Linked DNA regions of Drosophila melanogaster. The protein of the gene in region 1 interacts with the protein of each later gene in a pairwise test. Each region holds a gene or a part of one and is shown on either strand. Other genes may lie near its edges.

Region 1 (6,873 bases):
TCCCCGTCGCCCCTGCACCATTCACTTGTCATAATAGCTCGGCTATTAAATAATAAAAAGTAATACAAAAAGTTTGTTTTTTATTACATTCGCTGTCTCCAACTAAAATGTGTGGAAATGTGAATATCTAGATGGGTGTGAGTAAGTTTGTTTTGTTGGCTAGCAACAAAATTACGTTAGTTTAGCTGGGTTAGTTGCTTTCCGTTTTCTTGTATTATGTACCGCCGGTGGAGTGGAAAATAAATGTTGTAACATGATTTTTTTTTTTTTTGCTTTTTCATACATTTTGTTGAGTAAACGTTAAAGAGAAAAGGCTCAATCACCACCAGTTGTGACCTAACCTAAATCTATTAAAACGGGTCATGAAACAGTTTTAATTTCACAGAACAACATTCAAGGTTCGCAGGACCAGAATCTACGTCTTCTGACTTCCCAGTTCTGCTTTTCTTATATAACTCCCAGAGGTCAACTAGAATCCCCGATAAAGGGTGCTACTGAAGTCCCCGGTTTCTTACCCATCTTGATGAGCGACAAGCAAACAAGTGCTTTGTGTGAGTATATATAGCTGGAAGACCCGAAAATGCAGACAGCAAACATTGGGAAGACCCAATGGCAAACATATGCGCGTACGTATGTATAAAGAACTATAAAAAACAAAAACAGAGATACACAGACACAGGAAGACTTCGGCCCAACAAGAACCTAGAAATGTCAATAAGCGAACACGAGGTAAAATCGTCAGCAACGAAAGCTTTGGACCCACATTCAAGGCTAAAAAGGCGGCTCTTCCGTCGGCCTGACACAAGGAGGCCGATCGACTGAAATGCCTATAAAATATTTATAATGTGCGTGAGTTGTGTGCACTTCGTTTCCCGCTCTCCTACACGAAAGACCGGTGCTATCTATCACGCACCCACATATGTATGTATGTGGGTATTATGTATTGCATTGGAAACCCATTTCATTCACCCCCTTCTCATGGCTCTTCTTCTTAGTTTGGCTGGCGTGCCAGAGGCGAGAAAAAGCAGACGCCATAAGCCAAAAGCAACAAAAACACTTGCGAAAATAAAATAAAATCAAACACACAAGTTTAAATAGAAACATCTCTTTGCTAAAAATAAAATCGTTCGGCAAAAAAGGCAGCTACAACTAAATCTGTTGCTTGAACTTTTGACAATGTACAGTATTCGCTAGGAAATTAAAAGGAATTAGCTTTATGGAAATTTATTTATGTTAAACGAAATAAAATTATTTTAAACCAGACTCATTTTCTTTAAAAATTCGCAGTTTGCATTCGTTAATATTTTAAAAAGTTTTATGAGTGAAAGAAAAGCTAGTTCTATTGGTTAACTAAGCCAACCAAATCAAAACTGTTAGGTTTTAAAACTTGCAAACACGCGTTTCCCGACACAGCCATAATCTTATCGCTATCAAAATATCCAACCGCTTCTACGCCTGATAACAGTGTACTGTAGTACCGAATATGGAACATTTATGAGAACAGACGTCGCTTCCGTAGATAGTGGCAATGGTTTTTTAGCACGGCTTATCAATGCAAAATTATAAATAGTCGCAAGCCTATGGTCTCTAGTCAAAATTTGAGTACCGCTTGGAGTTGGAAGGTATAGCTAAGGGGCGTACAAAAGATTCAGATTCAAAAGCAGGGATAAAGCCAGTGGGCTAGATTCGCTTATCTTGATTTTCGATTGACAATAGAAAACTATAAATGGGTTTCAATACTGTAGCCAAAAGCAATGCCAACTTAAATGGTAGGATTAATTTTTAATTTTTGAAAGAGTCTTAGAACCATTACCTCTTTATGAATTTGGGGGATAATCGATATACAATTACACAATCATAACTCACCTTGCTTGCCGTTCTCGTCGCTGCATTTCGCCTAGCTAATCTCGCTTGAATTTTGATCGCTTTTCCGTAATTTTGATAATGATTTTTTTATCGACTGCCGCTGCTGCTTTTGTTTTTTTTTTTCCAACGTTGAGGCTGTTAATGTTGCTGACAGGCAACTGGTTTGATCCGAAATGCTGACTCTGTTTGACGAACAAACTGGAGGATCTGCAGGATCTGTGGGATGCGTGCGAATTGAGCGAATTATCCTCACCGCCCACACTCACACGCATTCGCGCACTCACTCACACTCACTTAGCGTCCGCGCATGTCGCGCATGCGAACAACACACACGGGAGATCCGTCGCTCTCTTTTGCTCTTTCCCCCGCTGGACGACAGGTGTGTGTACAGAGATTGCCTCTCTCCCTCTGTTCGCTAGCTTACAGTTATTCCAGTTGTTCCTTTTCCTTCTCTTTCTGCTGTTGTTGTTGTTGTTGCTATGGGGTCGTCGTTGTTTGACATCAAGTATGAAATTTGAGCAGCATCTCCTTGAAATTTCAGCTTTGGTGCTATACTTTCCGAATTTATTTTATGTTTTTGGTGAGCTGTGTGGTAGTTTAGTTATGTGTTCATATGTCAAAAGGCGGGCTATTTGTCGTAGGACTATTTTCCTATTGTTAATCGGCTTTAGGTTCCGGTGTAAATTAGCCAAGGCGAGTGTATCTATGTTGTTAAGAATTAAGGAAAACAGCCTCGTGCTACGCTGAACAACTATGTAAACAAATAATTTTGGCTAAACAATTTGACAAACACACTTTCGCACATTTTATCCAACAATTTTTGTGACAACAGATCTGAATCTCCGAATTCATTCAGATTGTTGCTATGATATTTTTCCTCCCAGTTTTTGATGACATTTTAGGCAAAAGGGACTATGTTGCTGTTTAAATATGTAGTTAAATTTCAATTAAGGGAAATTTAACCGGTCAGTATCACGCCTAAACTTTTAATGCTCACGATCGTGGAAATCAAAGCAATCTGAAAAATAAGAATGGAAAAGTTAAAGCAATTGTAAAAGAGCTGAATAAACAAAATTGTAAACGTAAAGATCGGTCTTAATTCCAAGCGCTTTGAATGTTTTGACGAAAGATCATGTTAACTGATACAAAATATAAAAAAACTCATATTACCGACGATTTAAACATTTTTCATTCTGTATGGATAATAAAAATAGTAAATAGACTAATGAATGTACGAAACTGCGGTATTTCTTTTGGTATGTTAGGCCAGCCATAGCGTATGCTGGTCACACTAAAAGCACTGATGAGAGCGCTAACTAAATTTGTTTTTTTTTTTCAATTGATTTTCATTTAATTTAGTAAGAGTTACTATTGACTTTAACTTAAAACTTTTAAAGTCATCGTCGCACAAATGAAAGTTACTCTCTTCTAAAAGGTACCAAATTAAAATTTAGAAAATTACAGAAAATTAGGCTAATTAGCTGCCATGGCCACCGCGCCGTATAAATTGTTGGAAAAATCTCTGGGGCCGCAAGGTCGAAGTAAATATTTCCGTACGTGATTTCGTTTATTTTTATAAATTTTCAAGTTTTGTTATTCGATGCAAAAAACGAGCCAAGGCGGCGATGGCCAAAGACCCAAAGAGAATAAGAGAGAGAAAACCAAGAAAGGCAGAGGGGCAAAGAGGCAGAGAGGGTGTAACTACTCGACTTTTGGCCATATTTTTTTCAATGGGCCTCCTTTCTGCCAACGCATCATTTTATAAGGTTTGCTTTGATCTTTACGGAATGAACGACTTGTGGGCTTTATTAATTAGGCAACTTTTAACTGCCGATTTACCTTTTATACAGTTTTGCACGCATTTTCATTACGCCTCATTTTTCACCCATACACTCTCACACGCACGCACGCACGCACAGACACAGTTACACACGTTCGGACCGAATATTGAAATTTGCAACTCGATTTGCTACTGTGCGCTCGTCGATTTCTGGATAACAACTTAGTTCACTACTTTTTATAAATTAAGCTGGGCTTGTGTTTAACTGATTTTCTACGAAACAATCCTCGAAAGACCAAAAAACGCACGCAAGAGAGCACGAGAAAAATGGTGCGATTTTTTCCCCTGCCTGCAAACACACACACACACGCTTATACATGGACAGAGACGGAGTAAGACCGTATAGAAAAACGAGGGAAATACTCTAGGCTGATTTAATGCTGATTACTGGTAAAAGAAAAATGGGATAATTTAATTAGCTTTTCCCGTTTATTTTAAACAGATACTTATATACTTGTGCTAAAGACAGAACTTACCTAAAGCCCTCTTTACATAAAAGATGTTTAAACATAATTATGAAATAAAAATACTGTTTAAAATACTGTTGCTGGCGAAACCAATTAGCCGGTAAATTTGTTTATCTACTCTTTAAAACTGTATAGGCCCACGGTAATATCTTTCGCGTTTAACTGATAATTTGTTTTTATAATATTATAAATTTTATCTTATTTATTGGTCCTGGATCCAAGGATTTCTCGGCAATTGGTATAGACATTTACACTTCACATTGTCTAAATTTGTAACTTATTCAACAACTGTGTACCATGCAATATATTTTGCTCTAATTTATTTAGTGTATAAAACCTTTTCAATATTTTAATTATAATTACGTTCGACACTGTTTTTGCGGCTGATTTGGGACTAAAAAACGAATCTGCCCAGTTCTAGGGTGACCATACAAAAACCTCTAATGAAATACCGAATTCTGAAATACCGCATCTGCAACACGTGCGAGTTTAGCTCTCTCTCCAACAAGTAAATAAATTTTATATTATATGCGATTTGTACAGGGAAACATCATGCCAGGAAAGTTGGTAAGATTGTCTAGATCTTTATGGAAACTATTTGGCCTATAACATACTTTGTTTAGGTGGGCTCTCCGAAGGGAGCTGCTCGAACAGGTACCCAAGCAATTGCACATGCCGGGGATCACAGCGACCTTGATGAACCAAAACCCAAAATCGCCAAGAGCGACCCACCATCCACTGCCATACCAAAGAAGAACAACTTCAAGCAGAGAGAAGGTACCAAGAATGTAAAGCCGCCCACTTTGGAGGAGATGAAGGAGCTACGAGACACCCAAAATCTCTTCCACTCCAATCTCTTTAAGCTTCAAGTTAAGGAAATGCTGGAGGAGCTGCAGTTAAAGCAGAAATACACAGATTTCATTGAAAACTGGCTTGAATCCTTTACGGCCTTTACCCGACAGCTAAAGGATGGCTTGATGGAGCGTACCCACTTGGAAGTTCCAATGAAGCTTTCTGAAAAGCCGACCGGATTTGTTTTCTCCAAGCCCACCAGGGAACCTTATCTGATCGGAGCCGCCGCCACGGGCACTTTGCTGGGTCCCAAAATTGTAGTGGATGTGGCCCTGGAGATGCCAAAAGAATCCCTGCACAAAGAAGATTACCTAAACCTTCGCTATGACCAGAAGCGAGCTTTGTATCTTACTTATGTGACGGAGAGGATGATGGAGTCCCCAGATTATGCAGAAGATCAGTTTAATTTCAACTACTATGCTAACAACCCGCTTAAGCCGGTTCTGGAATTGATCCCAGTTACTAAGCAAGTAAACAAGCACCTGCAAGTGCGTCTGTTCATCACTGCCCCATTAAGCAGTTTTAAGCCAGGCAGATTTGTTCCCTGGAACAACAATATTCGGCCCTCGTTTTACGGTGACGAATGGGACGAGAAAGATCCGCTGCCCTCCACCCAACACTACAACGCAAACGTACTGTTTGATCTAACTTTGTCCGAGAACCAGGCTCAATTGGATAAGGCCTTTAAGAGCAGGCGTAATTTTCAGGACGGCCTGCTGCTCCTTAAAGTATGGTTGCGTCAGAGGCAACTGGACATAGGTTACAGTGGGTTTGGTGCCCACATCTTAGCCGCTTTTATTGTGTACCTAAATACGCAGCGCATTCTGCATCAGTCAAGCAGCAGTTACCAAGTGGCACGCACTGTATGGAACCAACTGGCGAACACGGACTGGACGAAAGGCATTAGCCTGTCTGTTGCTCCCATTCAAACGGAAGAATTAAACAAGTTTGCCGAACACTATGACGTTTGCTTTATAGACTTCACTGGACAGCATAATCTATGCGCAAATATTCCGCTTTACCTGTATCAGAGAGTTCGAGAGGAGGCCAAACTGGCGGTGGAACTACTGAACGACATGAAGCTAAACAGTTTCCCGCTTATCTTTATGCAAAAGTGTCCACTGTACAGCAGGGTGGATAATATCTTAAAGTATGTGAAGCTAAAATGTTAGTTTTTCAATTATAAACTTTATTTTTCCCCAGGATTTCCAATTATTCATGCATAAATCAAATGCTTACACTGCATTCGCATCCTCGAATTAAGTACGATTTTGCTAATTATGGTTACCCGCAGCTGCTACATTTACTGACTGAGTGAGTTAACTAAGCTAAACAGGCAACTTACAAAGAAATAATAATCATAACTTTAGGCTCCTTAAAAAGGGACTTGCTGAACGTGTCCACTCCATACTACCCTTAGAAACTGCGACAGCCGCCTGGCCTGTGGAAAAAAAAGCGCCCGTTATTGGGAAGTATATTCAACTGGGCCTTATACTTCAGCCAGAGCACGCATACCAGGTGTTAAACAAAGGACCTGCTGCCAACGATGATCATGAGGGAGCTGAGGAATTCCGACGGTTCTGGGGAGAGAAATCAAACCTACGTCGGTTTCAGGATGGCAGCATCACAGAAGCTGTGGTTTGGGGGACCGCCCAGGATTCACCCGCCAAGAAGCGACTAATTGTTCGCCAGATTGTGCTGCATCTATTGGAGCATCACCTACAACTGGACAGCAAGGAAGTACAATACATTGGCGGCGAGTTGGACCAAGTCTACCAGCTGTCTCCTTGGTTTAAGGTCAATAAGCTAAAGACCAAGCTGCCATTGGGTCAAGATACCGACGCAGAG
Region 2 (4,969 bases), on another chromosome or scaffold:
GCTTGGATCCCGATAAGGCTTACATTCAAATTACTTATGTTGAACCCTACTTTGAAACATATGAAATGCGTCATCGTGAGACATACTTTGAGCGGAATTTCAATATAAGTATGATATGAATTAAACAGATAATTTAAATCGAAATTTAAAATTATAATTTTAACATTTTTGGTTTATGCAGAACGTTTTATATATGCCACGCCTTTTACTAAAAATGGAAAGGCACATGGCGAACTAAATGAGCAGTGTAAACGGAAAACGATTTTGACCACGGCGAATCACTTTCCATACGTAAAAACTCGCATTATGGTAATTAGCCGACAGCAAATAGTCCTGGAACCGATTGAAGTGGCAATTGAAGTAAGTTATGTTGTAAAATCCCAAAAGTTAATAAAATTAAACGTTATTGCCTAGGATATTCAAAAAAAAACATTGGAATTGGCAGCTGCCACGAATCAAGAGCCAGCAGACCCCAAAATATTGCAAATGGTACTGCAGGGATGTATTGGAACCACTGTTAACCAAGGACCGATGGAAATGGCGAGTGTGTTCCTTTCCAATTTATCCGACGGAACAACTGTACCGACAAAACACCAAAACAAACTTCGGTTGTGCTTTCGCGAGTTTTCAAAGCGTTGTGCTGATGCTTTGAAAAAGAATCGCAATCTAATACTTTCAGATCAAAAAGATTACCAACGAGAACTGGAACGTAACAACGATCGGTTCATTGAACGATTGACTCCCTTTATTACTCTTACATCAGTTCAGAATCATGGCGTTGTCAAGTAAGTTTTTATTGTTATACAGTGAAAAGGAAAGTTACATTGTGTATACATATGTATTAAAATTCTCATGTCTTTCTTATTTTGTTCCTCAACGGAGTGCTCTAAATAATAGACATAAGATGCTTAATTAGATATTTATAGAATCCAGCCTAATATAGATATTACTTTACTATATGACTATATTAAAAACCACCAGTGCAAAAAGTAAACATTAACTTATATAATTTTTTATTTCTTTTCTAAATACATCCAATAGGGCCAACGCGTACAACAACAAAAGTACTCCTTTGAAATGGTAACTTCTTGCACACGACTTAGTCTGCAATCAAATTATCATACTTTTGGTCTTTCATGTCTAGCGTATCGGATTATTTTAAGTAAATCTTACATTTTAAATTATCGATCTCTATAATTGCTAATGTAATAGCATAACTTTTTTATGCATCTAATAGATTAAGCAAAATATTAAAAAGCGAAAAAAATAAAGTTTACACTTTTTTACTTTTACGAAAATAGTTAAAGCAACATGTTTCAAGCTACAAGGAGGTGCAGTTAAAGTGAGTGAAACAAATCGTATCCTACAGCAACAAAATTTAATTGTCGATTACCAGAAAAGGGAAGTATTCGAAAATGATAATCCTCGAATTTCGCATGGGTCGTTAACGGTTGTTAGATTGACTAAGAGTGAGCTCCGTGAGGCAATGGTATCGAACGCGACCTATCGGTATTCGCGAAACTTTCGAGTATACTATCGATGTTTTTATTTATCGATAGTGTCGGCTTTAATTACACGTAAACTCAGATAGTTTGCCGGTTAAAAAGACAATAAATAAATAAAAATGAGAATCAAGTATTGTTGGCTCGCAACGCTAGTATTCATAGCCGCTGCTTCGGCGTCATATTCTCCCGAAAAGCCTGTTCCGCCGCCCTGCAGGGCATGTACCCAGCTTGTTAGCTCTTTCAGGGCAGGACTCGAAAGGACAAAACGCGGACACGCGGGCGGGGACACGGCATGGGAGGAGGAAAAGTTGCGTTCGTACAAGAACAGCGAGGTACGGCTAGTGGAGATCCAGGAGAAGCTATGTTCGGAAGGAGAAGTGATAAACAAGGATCACTGCCACAACCTGGCTAACGAGCACGAGGCGCTTCTCGAGGACTGGTTTATCCACAAACAAACAGAGAGTCCCGACCTGCAGTCATGGCTTTGCATCGATCAGCTAACAGTCTGCTGTCCGCTGAACACCTACGGACCAGACTGCCTGACCTGCACCGAGTGCAATGGAAATGGTAAGTAATGATAACCAAGTATTACAGGCCACAACTTACATAAGTGTGTCAACTTAAGATTGCCGTCTTCGTTAATTTTACCCACATGACAAATTTCAGGAAAATGCAAAGGAGACGGAACTAGAAAGGGTAACGGAAAGTGCAAATGTGATCCCGGCTATGCGGGTCCAAACTGCAACGAATGTGGACCGGAGCACTACGAATCATTCCGTGACGAAAAGAAATTGCTGTGTACACAGTGCCATGCGGCCTGTGGGGAAGGAGGCTGCACGGGAGGTGGTCCCAAGAGCTGCCGCAAGTGTAAGAAGGGCTGGAGCATGGACTCGGAGGCAGGATGTGTCGACATTAATGAGTGCTTGGAGCAACAGCGTCCAAACCCTTGCCGACCACAGCAGTTCTGCGTGAACAATGAGGGCTCCTTTAGTTGCCTGGAGTGTGATCGATCTTGCGATGGATGCGATGGTGATGGCCCTGACATGTGCAGGAAGTGTGCGGATGGCTATGAGTTGAAGGAAGGAAAGTGTCATGGTAAGTAAGACAGAAATTTAATAAATTTGCTTTTAAGCAACGCATTGTCCACTGTATGTATTGCGCCTCCGATCATTTAAGATATTTCTGCGGAGCAACGCAGCAACTACGTAAGCTTTACGCGAATGCTCACCTACTTCGGAATGTGCGTGGCCACCTGTGTCATCTTCCAGAGCTCTACTCATATTGCCTGGGGTTGCATTGTTGGGGCGGCAGTGGCAGGGTACATTGCTGTTTCCGAGTACTGGATCAACTCGGAGGCAGGAGGCGGCCACCAACCCGAAATAGATACAAAACAGTTGGAGGAACTAATAATGAAGTCTTTATAAGTCAAAAGACATGTCAACATTGCTTTCCTTTTATGATATACACGAGCGTTTTGAAAAGCATAATCTTTTAACATTCCCCCAAGACATCTAACGATTTTTGTACTTCGTTTGCAGTCCGCAGTGATTCAAACTCCACGGTGCTCGGTGAAGAGTCCACGCACGAAGAATTGTAAAAGTAACCAAAAACGCACACCTTTTGTAGCCAATTTTACTTTAATAGGTAATATTATCAATTGATATGTAATTATAAATTAGAATTTCAAAAAGCAGGGCATGACCATATTTTTTTACACGTACCACACTTAGATATTTATTTGGTTTCAAAAATGTATAAAATCACAAATACAGCATATATTCGTATGAATAAATATTTTTAACTAAAATTACTGACGTAGTGTGCTTTTGTGACGTCCAAATTTTCATTTTGAAGACCATCTGTCGTGTGCAATGTAATACTGCTTTAAGCGGATTAATAAAGGAGCTACAGTGATACGAATGAATCATTGCATTTGGATCTTACAAAATGAAAATTTGTAAACAAAAAATATACACAAGATAACAACCATCACCGCGCTATATAAATAAAAACTCTAAAAATATTAACTAGAGGAACTTAAGCATTACATACGATCGTTCCCTTTGGCTTCTAAAGTTATCCAACACAGTCCGAAACGGATACAGAGCTCCCCCCACAACAGCCATTTAATCCCTACGACCGTGTCAAATGAATTTGACTTGTGCTGGCCGCTAGTCCTATCTCTTCGTCCGATTCATCTGAATCCAATGGACTCACTCGAATGGCTTGGTACCACTTGTTAGTCAGGTCGGCCATCTGTGACTTGCACTCGTGCAATTCCTGACTATTGAACCGACGTGTAAAAAACGGAATAAAGTACTTGCGATCCATGCGCCCAAAACGATCGCGCGCTTGAGTAAAGGTGACGTCCTCTTCCTCGGTGAGTTCAGACAAGTGTTCAGAGTCGATTGCCTGGCCCCATTCGCGAGTTTTCGATAGGGAAATAGATTTTGAACGCTTCCTACCGCTGCCGTTGCGTCGACCTCCCTCCTCAGCGGCATTCCTTCCAGAGCCGCGTGCCCGCCGTTTTTTTCCTGGCTTAAGGTACTTTAGCAGAGGCATTGTGGAGCCCCCCAGCACTAGCGTGGTAAATAGCACAATGATTAATCTGAAATTTTAATTCTTCAATGACTGAGCATTATTTTACAATCCGGAATATGCTTACGTTGTTGTTATGATGACGTGTCGTTTCTCCTGGCTGTCAAGATTCAAGTGCAAAGATAGCGCGTAGGAAATCGCTCCGCGTAGGCCAGAAAACCACATAATGAACTGCATCTTGTTATTGATCTTATGCTCGCGAAATTTGTTGACCAAGAACGCGAGCGGAAAAATATTGCAGGCGCGGCCAATTAAGCAAAGCACAATGGCCCATATAACAAAAGATAGTTCAACTTGGTGTTTAAAAGAAAAGATTGCTAATCCCAGATAAGCAAACACGCAGGTCTCAGCAATGAAAGCTAGTGTCCTCATCGTCTGCTGCATGGTAATTTGGGTAACCTACGATTAAAAAAGTTTTAATAATATATAAAATAGGGATATCATATGACTTACAGTGGATAGGTTGAAATGCGTGTAGTGGGACATGACGATTCCGCAAAATAGTATAGCCATAATACCTATAGTTGAAAAAAATGTTTAGCTTTTAGAGTCATAGTCAACAACATTGATATACCGCTTAAGTGTATTCCCTCTGCCAAGACGTAAGGTGCGTAAGTAAACATTAGCATCATCGCGAACTCGAGGGATGGATGCTTTCGTAAATCGATGTGCTTCAGAAGAAGAGCCGAAATTAGTGCAAATATGACTCCAATGCCCGCCGAAGCAAAGAACATCGCGCAAAAGGTCTTCAACGCGCTGAACATGGCTTCTCCAGTGCTGGCCTCAGCATTGACGTTAGCGGATTGGGTTATGGATGCAGTCAGCACAATAGATATGGCGTCGTTGAGGATGCTTTCGCCGAATAC

What was found.
Region 2: the proteins of gish (region 1) and Creld interact in a two-hybrid assay, tested with the Drosophila melanogaster proteins (one large-scale study listed by BioGRID).

What each region holds. Positions count from the first base shown.
Region 1 is NT_033777.3:16,270,163-16,277,035, reverse strand, and holds the start of gish (gilgamesh), read right to left. Parts: upstream 4,036-6,873; 5' UTR 3,706-4,035; intron 2,885-3,705; 5' UTR 1,893-2,884; coding exon 1,867-1,892; intron 1-1,866. Other genes in the region: Mat89Ba (maternal transcript 89Ba), read left to right, coding at 4,702-4,740, 4,797-6,175, 6,229-6,339, 6,396-6,873.
Region 2 is NT_033779.5:100,835-105,803, forward strand, and holds Creld (cysteine rich with EGF like domains), read left to right. Parts: upstream 1-1,545; 5' UTR 1,546-1,624; coding exon 1,625-2,072; intron 2,073-2,171; coding exon 2,172-2,600; intron 2,601-2,681; coding exon 2,682-2,929; 3' UTR 2,930-3,043; coding exon of another isoform or gene 3,044-3,102; 3' UTR 3,103-3,308; downstream 3,309-4,969. Other genes in the region: Zir (Zizimin-related), read left to right, coding at 1-108, 182-360, 415-785, 1,042-1,084; Nhe1 (Na[+]/H[+] hydrogen exchanger 1), read right to left, coding at 3,639-4,113, 4,171-4,502, 4,557-4,621, 4,678-4,969.